Canis lupus familiaris: one gene and its partner. The main gene of each other region encodes a partner of the protein of the gene in region 2 in a complex. Links are inferred from orthologs where the notes say so. Each region holds a gene or a part of one and is shown on either strand. Other genes may lie near its edges.

The links. The genes of interacting proteins can lie anywhere in the genome.
Region 1: the proteins of TNKS (region 2) and USP25 are in contact, whole or in part, in a crystal structure (PDB 5GP7), measured with the Homo sapiens proteins. The link is inferred for Canis lupus familiaris from reciprocal best matches to the Homo sapiens genes TNKS and USP25. Residues at the interface, in NP_003738.2 of Homo sapiens: Arg836, Ser838, His842, Leu843, Gly846, Tyr847, Leu871, Asn876, Ser879, Tyr880, His882, Asp900, Trp902, Phe904, Glu909, Gln912, Lys913, Gln934, Glu935; in NP_037528.3 of Homo sapiens: Ser1046, Ser1048, Arg1049, Thr1050, Pro1051, Ala1052, Asp1053, Gly1054, Arg1055.

Annotation. Positions count from the first base shown.
Region 1 is NC_049252.1:12,987,795-12,993,433, reverse strand, and holds the start of USP25 (ubiquitin carboxyl-terminal hydrolase 25), read right to left. Parts: upstream 3,568-5,639; 5' UTR 3,494-3,567; coding exon 3,449-3,493; intron 3,258-3,448; exon of another isoform or gene 3,154-3,257; intron 3,035-3,153; exon of another isoform or gene 2,974-3,034; intron 1-2,973. UniProt on the Homo sapiens protein: Deubiquitinating enzyme that hydrolyzes ubiquitin moieties conjugated to substrates and thus, functions in various biological processes including inflammation and immune response.
Region 2 is NC_049237.1:35,853,537-35,859,079, forward strand, and holds the start of TNKS (poly [ADP-ribose] polymerase tankyrase-1), read right to left. Parts: upstream 3,560-5,543; 5' UTR 3,526-3,559; coding exon 2,853-3,525; intron 1-2,852.

The DNA of each region.
Region 1 (5,639 bases), on a different chromosome or scaffold from region 2:
CAGAAATAAATGCATGCTTGGCTCCACTAAAACACTCAGATCCAAAAGAGTTGTTCCTGTCTAATCATACTAACTTTAAGGCTTTAAAGGAAGATTCAGAGGCAATTAACGATTTGTGCAAGGTCACAGAAAGGTGATTTAGGTCCAATCCACACTTCACTACACAGCGTATATTCCAACAGTAGTCCATGGTTTCTCAATAATTAAATCCTGAGATTCAGTTAGGAAACTAAATTACTGCATTTGCATTCCTTTTAGAAAACATTCACTCATTATTTCACTCATCAAATATTTACTGAAACCTATTATGTGCAAGACACCATTATTCTAAGCTCTATAATGAAACAAAATAGGCAAAATACCTAGCCTTATAAACCTTATATTTTACCCAACTCAGAAAGATACGTTTAATGTAAATAGTACCCAGCTCACTTCACTCTGTACATCAGTTTGATCCCTAGGAGGAAGCCTTCTATTGGTGCCCTAAGGAATCCTCATTTGGGACCTGAGGCTATACATAGGTACCAAATTTTTGAGATCTAAGGATGCTACACTTAGGTAAATATAAAGTACAAATGTTGAACCTACATGTTCATGAAACCACCTGGGTGGCTCAGTGGTGGAGTATCTACCTTTGGCTCAGGTTGTGATCCCAGGGGCCTGGGATGAAGTCCCACATCCGGCTCCCCTCAGGGAGCCTGCTTCTCCCTCTGCCTCTCTGTGTCTCTCATGCATAAATAAATAAATAAAATCTTAAAGAAAAAGAAGAAGATACATGTTCAAGACTAAGATTATGGACAGGATTTAATGGTAGCTAATCTGCCACCAACTCCACCTAACCTGTATCACCTAAACCTCAGAAAAGCAGCTTTCTGCAGTTTTATTACATCTCATAACTCCCCGCCATGACCAAACTTCAACAACCAAGCAAAGAACACATCAGAGGAAAAGACAGCCAAGCCAGCCCCTTGGCTTATACCATGGCAAGCTACTTTGCAGGTGAACAAAAGACCTATGAAAGAAAGCTTTGTGTTGTGCTGCTTAAATAAATAAATAAATAAATAAATAAATAAATAAATAAGTCAAAAATCATTCTTACTAATCATCCTTCTGGAAAAAAAATCTTGAAAATATAATAAACTTCCAACCTCCAGAATAAAACTACATACATAAAACTAATACATATGTGCATTCACATGCATAATTTTAAGGAGAGCAGAAAATAGGCTAAATTTTGATTATGCAAATGCACTAACACTTCTTGTTTGTATAATAATTCATAAAGTTTCTAAGTGAAAACAAAGAGTTTCACTTTTGTTTCTTCTAAAGTATGAAGTTCACTTCCTAGTTACTAGCTTGTAGTCCGCTTCCTAGTTACTAATCTGGTGAATTTAAGCCTATGAATTTATCTGTAATGGATGGTTTAAAGTACTTATACCTAAATAAACATTTTTAAACAGTTCTGAGTAACAAATAGTATATCACTGCAAAAAAGTAAATAAACACATTGTTTCTTTTCAAAAACCCCATAAATACCATTATGGAAGTATAAAAATAAATGCATAATAAAAATTGCTCCAATAAAAATTCCCCAGTATCCCAAAAGATCTGACACATACACTAACAATAGCATCATAATAGTAATATTTTGGATCAACAACTATTCCCTTTGTGTAAGGAGGGGACTCATGAAGCTGGGAAACTGGATTTGATGGCCAAGATCATCTTTAGTAATTTGATTCGAGAACCTACGATTTTATGCATAAACCTCTGAACCAGGCAGATCTGCATTATCTGATTCGACGCTAGAAAAAGTCAACTTTAAAAAAAAAAAAAAAAAACCCTCACAAACTTCTTACCATTGCTCAGGCTTAAAAGACGTGAAAAGTAGGAGCCACATTTCCCACTTTCAAACAATAATCAGGCTTTAATATTCAACACTGTGAAGAGAGCTATAAACAAAAAACGATACCAAACCTATTAAATCCTGCTTAGCATACATATGAACACAAGATCCTGCTCTAAGTATTAACACTTTATCACATACTTAACATCAAAAACTAAAGTTTAAGATATTCAAAATAGAATACAAGGAGTAGATAATAAACTATTCTAAACTCCCATTAGTAAACCTAGAATCCTTTCACTGCAAATAAATCGCAGTCTGCAACAACCTTCTGAATTTGCCAGGAGCAGTTAACTTACACAAGAGTTCCAAAGACAACTTTCCCAAAGTGCCTAAAATAACAATGCACTATCCTTGCTTTCCAAAATTCTTGAGCATCTTCAATTACCTCAAGTACTATCTAGAATTCTAAAAATAATCTCAAAGCAAAAACTTAGCAGTGAGTAGACAGACCGTCCCCTCTAGGACAGCAGGCCTCGTTCTGAAATCAAGCACAGGTAGGATACAAACTACGCCAAAACTACCACAGGGTGGGGCATTCATTACTCGCTCAGATAAGCCAAACACAGCTTTGGTTGCTGCTCCCAGTAAACCCCTAGTGACTCCCCAAATTTCAACACGACTAAAGCAATGTTTTCCTTTTGCCCAAAATGCTTTTCACAGAATGCCAAAAAAAAAAAGTCATAGCCAACACTTCAAGATAGGGTGCAAGCCATGATAATGCACTTGAGATTCTGGAAACCAAATCTCCAATAAAATGAATGTCAAAGATCTGAAGCTGCACACAGATTTTTTTATTTTATTTTATTTTTTTACTTACGTGGCCATTTGAATGTGTGACTGAGGCAAGAGTCAAGGGTGAAGGATGGAATAAGGTCAAACTTAGCAGACAAAAGATCCCTGGAATAAACATGGCCAGAAAGGTCTCCTTTCGAAGGGGCAGGGTGTATGTTCAGAGAGAAAGAAAAAAAAAAAAAAGAAAAGAAAGAAAGAAAGAGAAAAAAGGGAAAAGAAGAACAAACCAAATCGTCTACTTTCTAACACAAGAGTCCACCTGGTAACCGTACCTGCCCCGCCAAGCAGGCAACTCCATTCTGGTAGCGATCCCGTCTGCAAAATAGCAGGCCTGGAAGGCTCCCACCTTCGACATAAGATAGTGTTCAGGAAGGATGACAACCGGCTGCCTTTTTTTTTTTTTTTTTTTTTTTCAAAAAAGGAAGGAGGTGAATAAAGTTTAATTCCGAAGCCCCGTAAGGAGTGTAGCAACGTGAGGGTCGCTCCCAGTACGCAGCGGGCACTGTCGGCTGCAGGAGAGCGATCGGCAAGACGGAAGCGGGCCGAGACCCACCAGGTAGGTCCCCCCACTCCCCACGCTGGGCGCGACGCCCCGAAGGCGCGGGCGGGCAAGCCCGGGGCGGCGCAGGGGGAGGCCGGGAGCGGGGAGGAGCGGGGAGGAGCGGGGCCCGGCCGCGCCGGCTCCGGGCTCCGTGCTCCGTGCTCCGTGCTCCGGGCTCCGGGCTCCGGGCTCCGGGCTCGCCTCACCTTCTGCGCCGCGCTCTGCTGCAGCACGTTCTGCTCCACGGTCATGGCCCCCGCGGCGCCGGCGGCGACTCGGGCGGCGGCGGGCGGGTCCTCGCGCCTCCGCCGGCCCTGGCAGCCGCGCTCCGCCGAGCTCCGGGGAGCGGCGCGGACCGCCGGGGAGGACAGCGCCCCCGCCAGCCAGGCGCGAAGGCGATGGCGGCCGGCGTGCGCGGGCACCGCGGGCTGGCGGCGAGGCGCGGACGGCGAGGGCCACGGCGGCAGCCCCACGACTCCGCGCGGCCCGCCTCAGCGCGGCTGCTGCGCCGCGGCCGGGGCCATGGGCGGGGGCGCGCGGGGGCGGCGGGGCGGGGGGCGCGGGGGTGGGGGGCGAGCAAGCCGGGCCGCGTCACGCGCGCGCTCCCTGGCCGGCGCCTCGCGGGCCACCGCGGGGAAGGGGCAGCGGACGGAGGGAGCGGCGGGCCGGAATGGCGCTCTTCTCCTCGCTGCCCGGCTCCACCTCCCCTCCCCTCCCCCACCCGCCGGCACCGCCCCCGCCCGGCGGCTCCGCCCCCGCCGAGCCCCGCCCGCCGGCCGCCCTAACCCTAGATTGTGACCCGCGGGGCGGCCCCGGCCCCGCCCCCGGCCCCGCCCCGCCCCCGGCCCGGCCCCGCCCCCGGCCCGGCCCAGCCCCGCCCCGCCCTGCGCGTTCCCGGTGGGGGGGGGCGAGGGCGCGCCCCGCGGGCTCGGGCTCGGGCTCGGGCTCGGGCTCGGCCTCGGAGCCGCCCCTGCGGCAGGTTGCGCGGTCGTGCCCTTGGCTGCGCGAGGCTCGGAGCCCGGGCCGCGGGGCGCGCTCTCTCGGGGCCCGGACCGCCCGGATCGCCGGCTTTCCGAACTCCTCCGAGACAGAACCTTTAAAGCCCCTTGAGCCCGGTAACGTCCCGAACCCCGGCTCCTTTCTGGGTCCCCGGTCCTCCCCCCTCGCCTTTCTAGGAATTTCACGAGCAGTAAACTTGCCCGGAGGGAAGAAGTCAAGTGTGACTTCAGCAAAGGGCTGTCAGAAGTCCTGAGGCTGGAATGTACTTTCCTCCGTAACTGATCGTTACACAAATGAATATTGATATTCTCCGTCTGCTTCATTCACGCAAACAGGTACCTACCAGTCGTTGCGAGGCTCTGGAGAAAGAAGGGTTATTTCCTGAAGATTTGATAAAAATGAAATACGGTCTATACAACAGACAAAAGTATCACTGCCCGGGGGGTGCATAATCCGATATACCAGTTGTCAAACAATTAGCGATGAACCTTCCTGCGTGGAAAACTTGACCGTATATGGAATTGAAAGAAAAACTTGACATCGAGAAGGCGATCTCTGCTCTCAAAAAAACCTTGAGCTTCGCGAGCTCATCTGGGGATAGGAGGTGAGGGTGTGGCAATGAGAGGGACAGAATAATCAGTCCATCTTGTCGTAAATGCATTACACACCTATGCAAATCCGGGTATAATTTTTAATCTGATGGCAAGAAAAGCAAGCTTAGTGAATGATCACTGAGATATTATCCGGTTTTATATAATAATCATGGATCATAGTGATCCTTAAGGCTTTGTAACAAATCTGTGCACTTCGCAGCCGTCCTTGCTTCACACCTCAGATATTTTCAATCAGCATTTGAGATCCTTCCCTGGAGTCTTCATATGTATTTGATTTTGACATATTACGAACTTAATTCTATTGATATCCTATGTTTTCACCGGAGGAATTTGAAAAGTTGTGAAGTGGTTGGAAACACAGAATTTTAGGAATAATGCAATAGCTCTCCTAGAATGCACAATTCTGTTGTGAGAACACTGAGACTCAAAGGAGGCTACTTGCCAAAGAAAGCAAACTAGAGCCCATTTTACCTCATTTACAGACCGAAGTTCTGTCCAACATCATATTCATGTTTCTATTATGGATTAAAAAAAATAAAAAAGAACTCTATCCAGTTCATGACATTTGAATATAAGAAAGTTAAATTTAACATAAAAAATGTAGTACTAGGATTTTAAAAAGATACTGCCACATACTAAACTTTAGTTTTGTTTTTCTGAGTTAAATTGTTAGTTCCACAGAAAATGTTATTTTACCAGTGGTTACTAGATAATTATTAAATAAATGTTTTTATAGGATAGTCATATTTGCCCACTTTGATCATTTATTTCCAGCTTACCTCTA
Region 2 (5,543 bases):
CCCTATTAGATTGTAAGCTCCGTAAGGGCAAAGACTATCTGCCATGTCAAAATTGTGTCAGTATTTAACACGTGATCTATAACAAGTAACAAAACATTTGTAGAGCAAATGAATTACAATTTCTAAACTTTTCCATCCCAGGGATTGTTCCAGTTTCCTCTTTTAAAATGGCTTTTCCATGACAATCCCATTACTCGAATCCTAACCAAGAATCATCCTGTTAACTACTCACCCTACACATGGCAAAAGGTCAGACTTAACCAATTTGTTATACTCTGCACACAAATATCAAAGTATAAGAAACTGACTACAGAGTGTTATGTTTTTATACCACATATAACGCTACGCGGTATAAAGTAAAAACTAAAAAATCAGTACAAACTAAAAATTTTGTTTCTTAAAAAACCAGTTCAAAGTCAGGTTCTCATAATTACAACACCTTTACAGGACTGTGTTTTACTGTCTGTCTGGTAACTTCTCTGAGCACATGTAAAACTCTAAAACAATAAGAGAAACTATTGTGGCAAACGGGAATAAGTTGATTGGGGAGACATGCACTATTTTATGTGTGACTACCCTAAATAAGTACATTATCATAGAAATAAATAAAACTATCATCTGTTAATGATTATTTATAACATGGCATGGCGAAGAATGACAAGATTTTGATATGTGCTAAAACAGTCCAATTTGGAACAAAGTATGCAAAAGAAAACAACCTCAGTTGATCCAGTATATCAGACTTAGACCTTTCACAAGACCTAAAGAAAAAGAAATGCTACTTCATCTAAGATAGGCAACACCCCGGAGCAAATATCTAGTTATATGGAAGTCTGTTTATGATTCAATTCACTAAATCCCTAATAGGACCTATATTATCTAATATGTATCTATATGTCAAGAATGGATCCAGGAACCTAATATTGATTCCCTGTATTTCTCATGTTTGTGACCCATTAATGAACCACAGACAGCAGTTGTAAAACAAAATGAATGGAATAAGATATAAAATATAAGAAGACAGCACATGTAATAAGGGAAAGTATTATTTCTTGAAACTTTTGATTCTACTTCTGCGTGTGTGAGACGATGTAAAATAAATACCTAAGTGTGGGCTGCAATAAAAAAAAAAAAAAAAAAAAAAGTGTGAATGCTACTCAGGAGTTTCAGCTCCCAATTACTTCTTCCCCCAAAACACCGCAAAAACAGAAACTCTCCATCACAACTTCTCAAAATGAAAAGTGACTGTAGCCCAGGGAGAGGTTTTAACAGTTTAAGCTTGATTTCACGAGCTCTAAAATCAAACTGAGTTCAAATCCAGATTCCAAGACTTTCTGTGTCAATTAGGACTTACTTAAACAGTTTGTGCTTCATTTTTGTCACCTGTAAAATGAGGGTAATATTATCTTTCAAGTTGGGGGGAAAAACAAACAATACCTTAATAAGTTCTTACTATATATTTTACCATAAATAGAACAAATTAAAAGAGTGGTAGGTATGAGCAACAGCAAGAAACGTAACAGAAGGTATCTTCAGCGTGTTATCTTTGATGTTTGTGTGTGGGCCTGGTGCTTTTTCATTTTGTCTTTCTATCCTATGTGAACTGTATCATGTATATATACATACATTTTTAATGTAATGTTTATAATGTATGTAACATTACCTTCATCTTTTGGAATATAATAGTAGATATCTGGGCAGTGAGATTACAGTCCTTTTTTGAATACTTCTTTGTATTTTATAAAAACATTTTATATGGCTTTAAAAGACAAGGGTCAACTACTTGACTTAAAAAAAAAAAAAAAAGACAAAAAGTGTGTGGTCCACGATTTAGGAACTAGCGTTTTTTTTGGGGGGGGGAGAACCAATGTGCCAGGTGCTTCTCACTAAATCCTCACACAAACCTAGATATCATTTTGTCACTGAAAAAACTGAGGCAAGGGGATCCCTGGGTGGCTCAGTGGTTTAGCGCCTGCCTTTGGCCCAGGGCTGATCCTGGAGTCCCAGCATGGAGCCTGCTTCTCCCTCTGTCTGTGTCTCTGCCTCTCTCTGTGTCTCTCATGAATAAATAAATAAAATCTTAAAAAAAAAAAAAAAAAGAAGGACACTTAAAAAAAAAAAAAAGAAAACTGAGGCAATCAAGATAAGGTAAACTGTCAGGCAACTAACAAATAGGAGTGTCCAGGGCTTCAAAGCCTTTATTTCTTCCACCATCACATAACGCATCCAAATATTCCTCTCCGGTTGTTTCATACAGGCACATTTTAAATCTACCCAATTAGACTGTAAACTCCTTGAGGAAGAGAAAAAGTGTCACAGATTTCATTCATGTCTTCCATGGGCTTCGGAAAAGTAGGATAGATCCTTCAACACTTGTTGAGGTACATCAAACTTCTTTTGGTCTAGACTGTTCTCATGGGACACATACCCTTGTATATGTTGTAAAAAAAAAATAAATAAATAATAAATAAAAATAAAAATAAACGAAATAAACTAAGGAAACAAATGGCAAAACTCTTAAGACTGCCCAAATCTAACTTTATTCCTTCACACTGGGAACTGAGGAAAGTTCAAGCACACCCATACCCGGAGACTACCGCTAAGGGGGTTTGGAGACGAGTGCAAGTACCACGCGGTAGGCGAACGCTCCAAAAAGAACGGATTCACACCTTCCCCCTACCACGCCCCCGTCCTCCAGGCACTAACCTAAAGAAAGGAACCCCGAGCCCTCCCGCCAGGCGTTGGAAGAGCCACAGCCACGCCCCCGTCCCCTTCCATCGCCGCTGGCTTTCCGTCCCTACCCGGACCCCCATTCCCAAGACCGAACCCCTGAAGAAACAAAAGTCTCTGACCTGCAGCGAAGTGCAGGGGAGAAGACTTCCGGCCGGCCATGTCCTTAGCATTCACGTTTGCCGCGTCCACCAGCCTCTTGACCCGGGACACGTCCCCATTGCGACAGGCCTCCAACAGTTCCCGTAGGGCCCCGCTCACTGCTGGGACCCCTGGCCCAGGCCCCGCTGCCCCAGGCCCCAGTGTTGCTGTGGTGCTAACTCCTGCCGCCTCGGGGCTCTCCGCCAAGCTCGATCCGGGGGAGGATGGAGAGGAAGATGAGGAAGAAGTCGGGGAAGAAGAGGACGACGGTGAATTGTTACTGCCACCGCCGGCTGGGTTGGGAGCGACCCCCACGGCAGATGAAGCGGACACCGCCGGGGCCACGGGAGCGGCGGCGACGGTACAGATTGTGCTGGTGGTACTGCAACAGCTGGTACTGTCAACCGGCTCCGGGGATCGAGGCCTGTCGGGCGGATCCCGACTGCCATCCCCCTCCGGCAGCGCTAGGCCGTGCCGCGGGGAGGCGAAGGGGGCCAGGCCGCCCGCCGTTGGGGAGGCTGGGGTGGTCCCCGGGGCCAGGCCGGGGCTGAGTGGGGGGGGAGGTGGTGGCGGCGGCGCCGAAGCCCCTGGGGCGGGCTGGAGCTGTTGTTGATGATGGTGGTGATGATGCTGAGAGCGACGCGACGCCGCCATCTTCGGACTCCCCCAGCACTGTCACTGCGGCAACGGCCCCACCGCCCGCCCTCACTTCCGACCGCTAGGCCAATTAGCAGCCAGCGCACAGGAAATGATGCTTGGCGGAGTGGGCGGGGCCTAGGGGAAGGAGGGAAGTATTGGGAGCTGGGAGAGCAGCCACGGAAGGGGGCGTGGCTTGGCGGCTGGGGGGCGGGCTTTGTGACGCCTTGGCGGGCCGGCGGCGGCGATTTGAAAGTTGGAACTGACCACTCCCTGGATGGGCCGCTTTTCCTCCTTTCTCGCTCTCACCCGGCTTCCGTGGTTCAGATTGCCAGGATTGGAATTCAAGCTCTCTGATTTCCTAGCTGTGCCAATTTGGGCAAACTGTTGAAACACTCTGCGTCTCACCTTCTCCTCTGCAAAACAGCGAACAGATCAATAATCGTTAACTATTAAAATTATAATTTTTCCGGGATCCCTGGGTGACGCAGCGGTTTGGCGCCTGCCTTTGGCCTGGAGACCCGGGATCGAATCCCACGTCGGGCTCCCGGTGCATGGAGCCTGCTTCTCCCTCTGCCTGTGTCTCTGCCTCTCTCTCTCTCTCTGTGTGACTATGATAAATAAATAAAAAATTTTAAAAAACATTAAAAATAAATAAATAAATAAAAATAAAAAATTATAATTTTTCCTATTTTTATCTCTGTACTTTTATTTCTCACCTTAAGTTTGACTCAAATAATTATGAATATGTTCCTTTTGAATTCTTTTCAGCTGGACTTCTCCAATGCTCCTACCTCAATTCTCTCTCTCTCCCAAAATAAGATAAAAACCTCACTACTCTCCATCACTTACCTTCAGTTGCCATTCTTCAGCAACTACTTTTTCTCTCTTTCCTCTGCCTGTCTCTAATGCCATCAAAAAAAAAAAAAAAAGATTTCTCAGTGCATGGGATAATCTCTGTGATCTCCATTCCCTCCTATTTTTTTTTTTAGATTTTATTTATTTATTCATTAACACACACACCCACACACACACAAGCAGAGGGAGAAGCAGGCTCCATGTAGGGAGCCTGATGAGGGATTCAATCCCAGGACTCCAGGATCAAGTCCTGGGTCAAAGGCAGGCGCTAAACCGCTGAGCCACCCAGGGATCCCTGGACTCCTATTTAATAGTAAACTAGTCATTGTGGAAGTTTAGACAAACAGCATTATTCCGATAGAGGGCTTATAGATGGACACCGTCTTAAGAAAGAACAAGGTTTACGTGGGTCAAGTAGAAATTTGTCTCTGCAGAATATTAAACCGGGTGATAAATCGTTCTTTTAGAAATTCATTTTAATATAATTTTACTGTGATGTTAATATTCTCAGCTAAATAAATAGGTAGGTTTATTTAATAAGACTACTATCTACATAAAACAAGGTCAGAAACATAATATTGAGAGACATTTGTTATCTGAGGTTATAGATTATAACTGAACAGTATTCATCTGTTTCATAAATTTGTGCCTATTGTTCACAAATACGTCGCCAGATAGGAAAACTCCATCAAAACAAGTAAAATCTGTCATAATGCACATTCTCCTGGTTTTGAATCTTAAACTAATGCGCAACAGAGGGTAGCATTGAAAAGTGGGGTTTATCAACATAAGACATTAGATGCCACTAACTCACCTTGTGCCCCCCTTGACTGTGGCCTTCTCCCTGAATCGGAGGCGTAAGGAATATCCCACATGGTCCCCTTATGGCCAATTACTCGTAGATCATGAGAAGTAGTCATGTTTACCCTAATTCAAATGCATCTACTGTGTCTGTTTATAAATACAAATAAATAAGAAAATTTCTGCTGGATAAAGATAAAAAGGCCAAACTGCCAGAAACCAACCATTCTACTGGTAAACTATGTCTGAAAATGCATTCGATCAATTGGAAATTGCTTTTTCCCCCTCCAGTGGAAAGTAGTAAATGTACTTAACATTAAGTATTTATAAGGTTTAGGTTTATATGAACTAATACTGAGCTCTAAACAGGAAAGGGC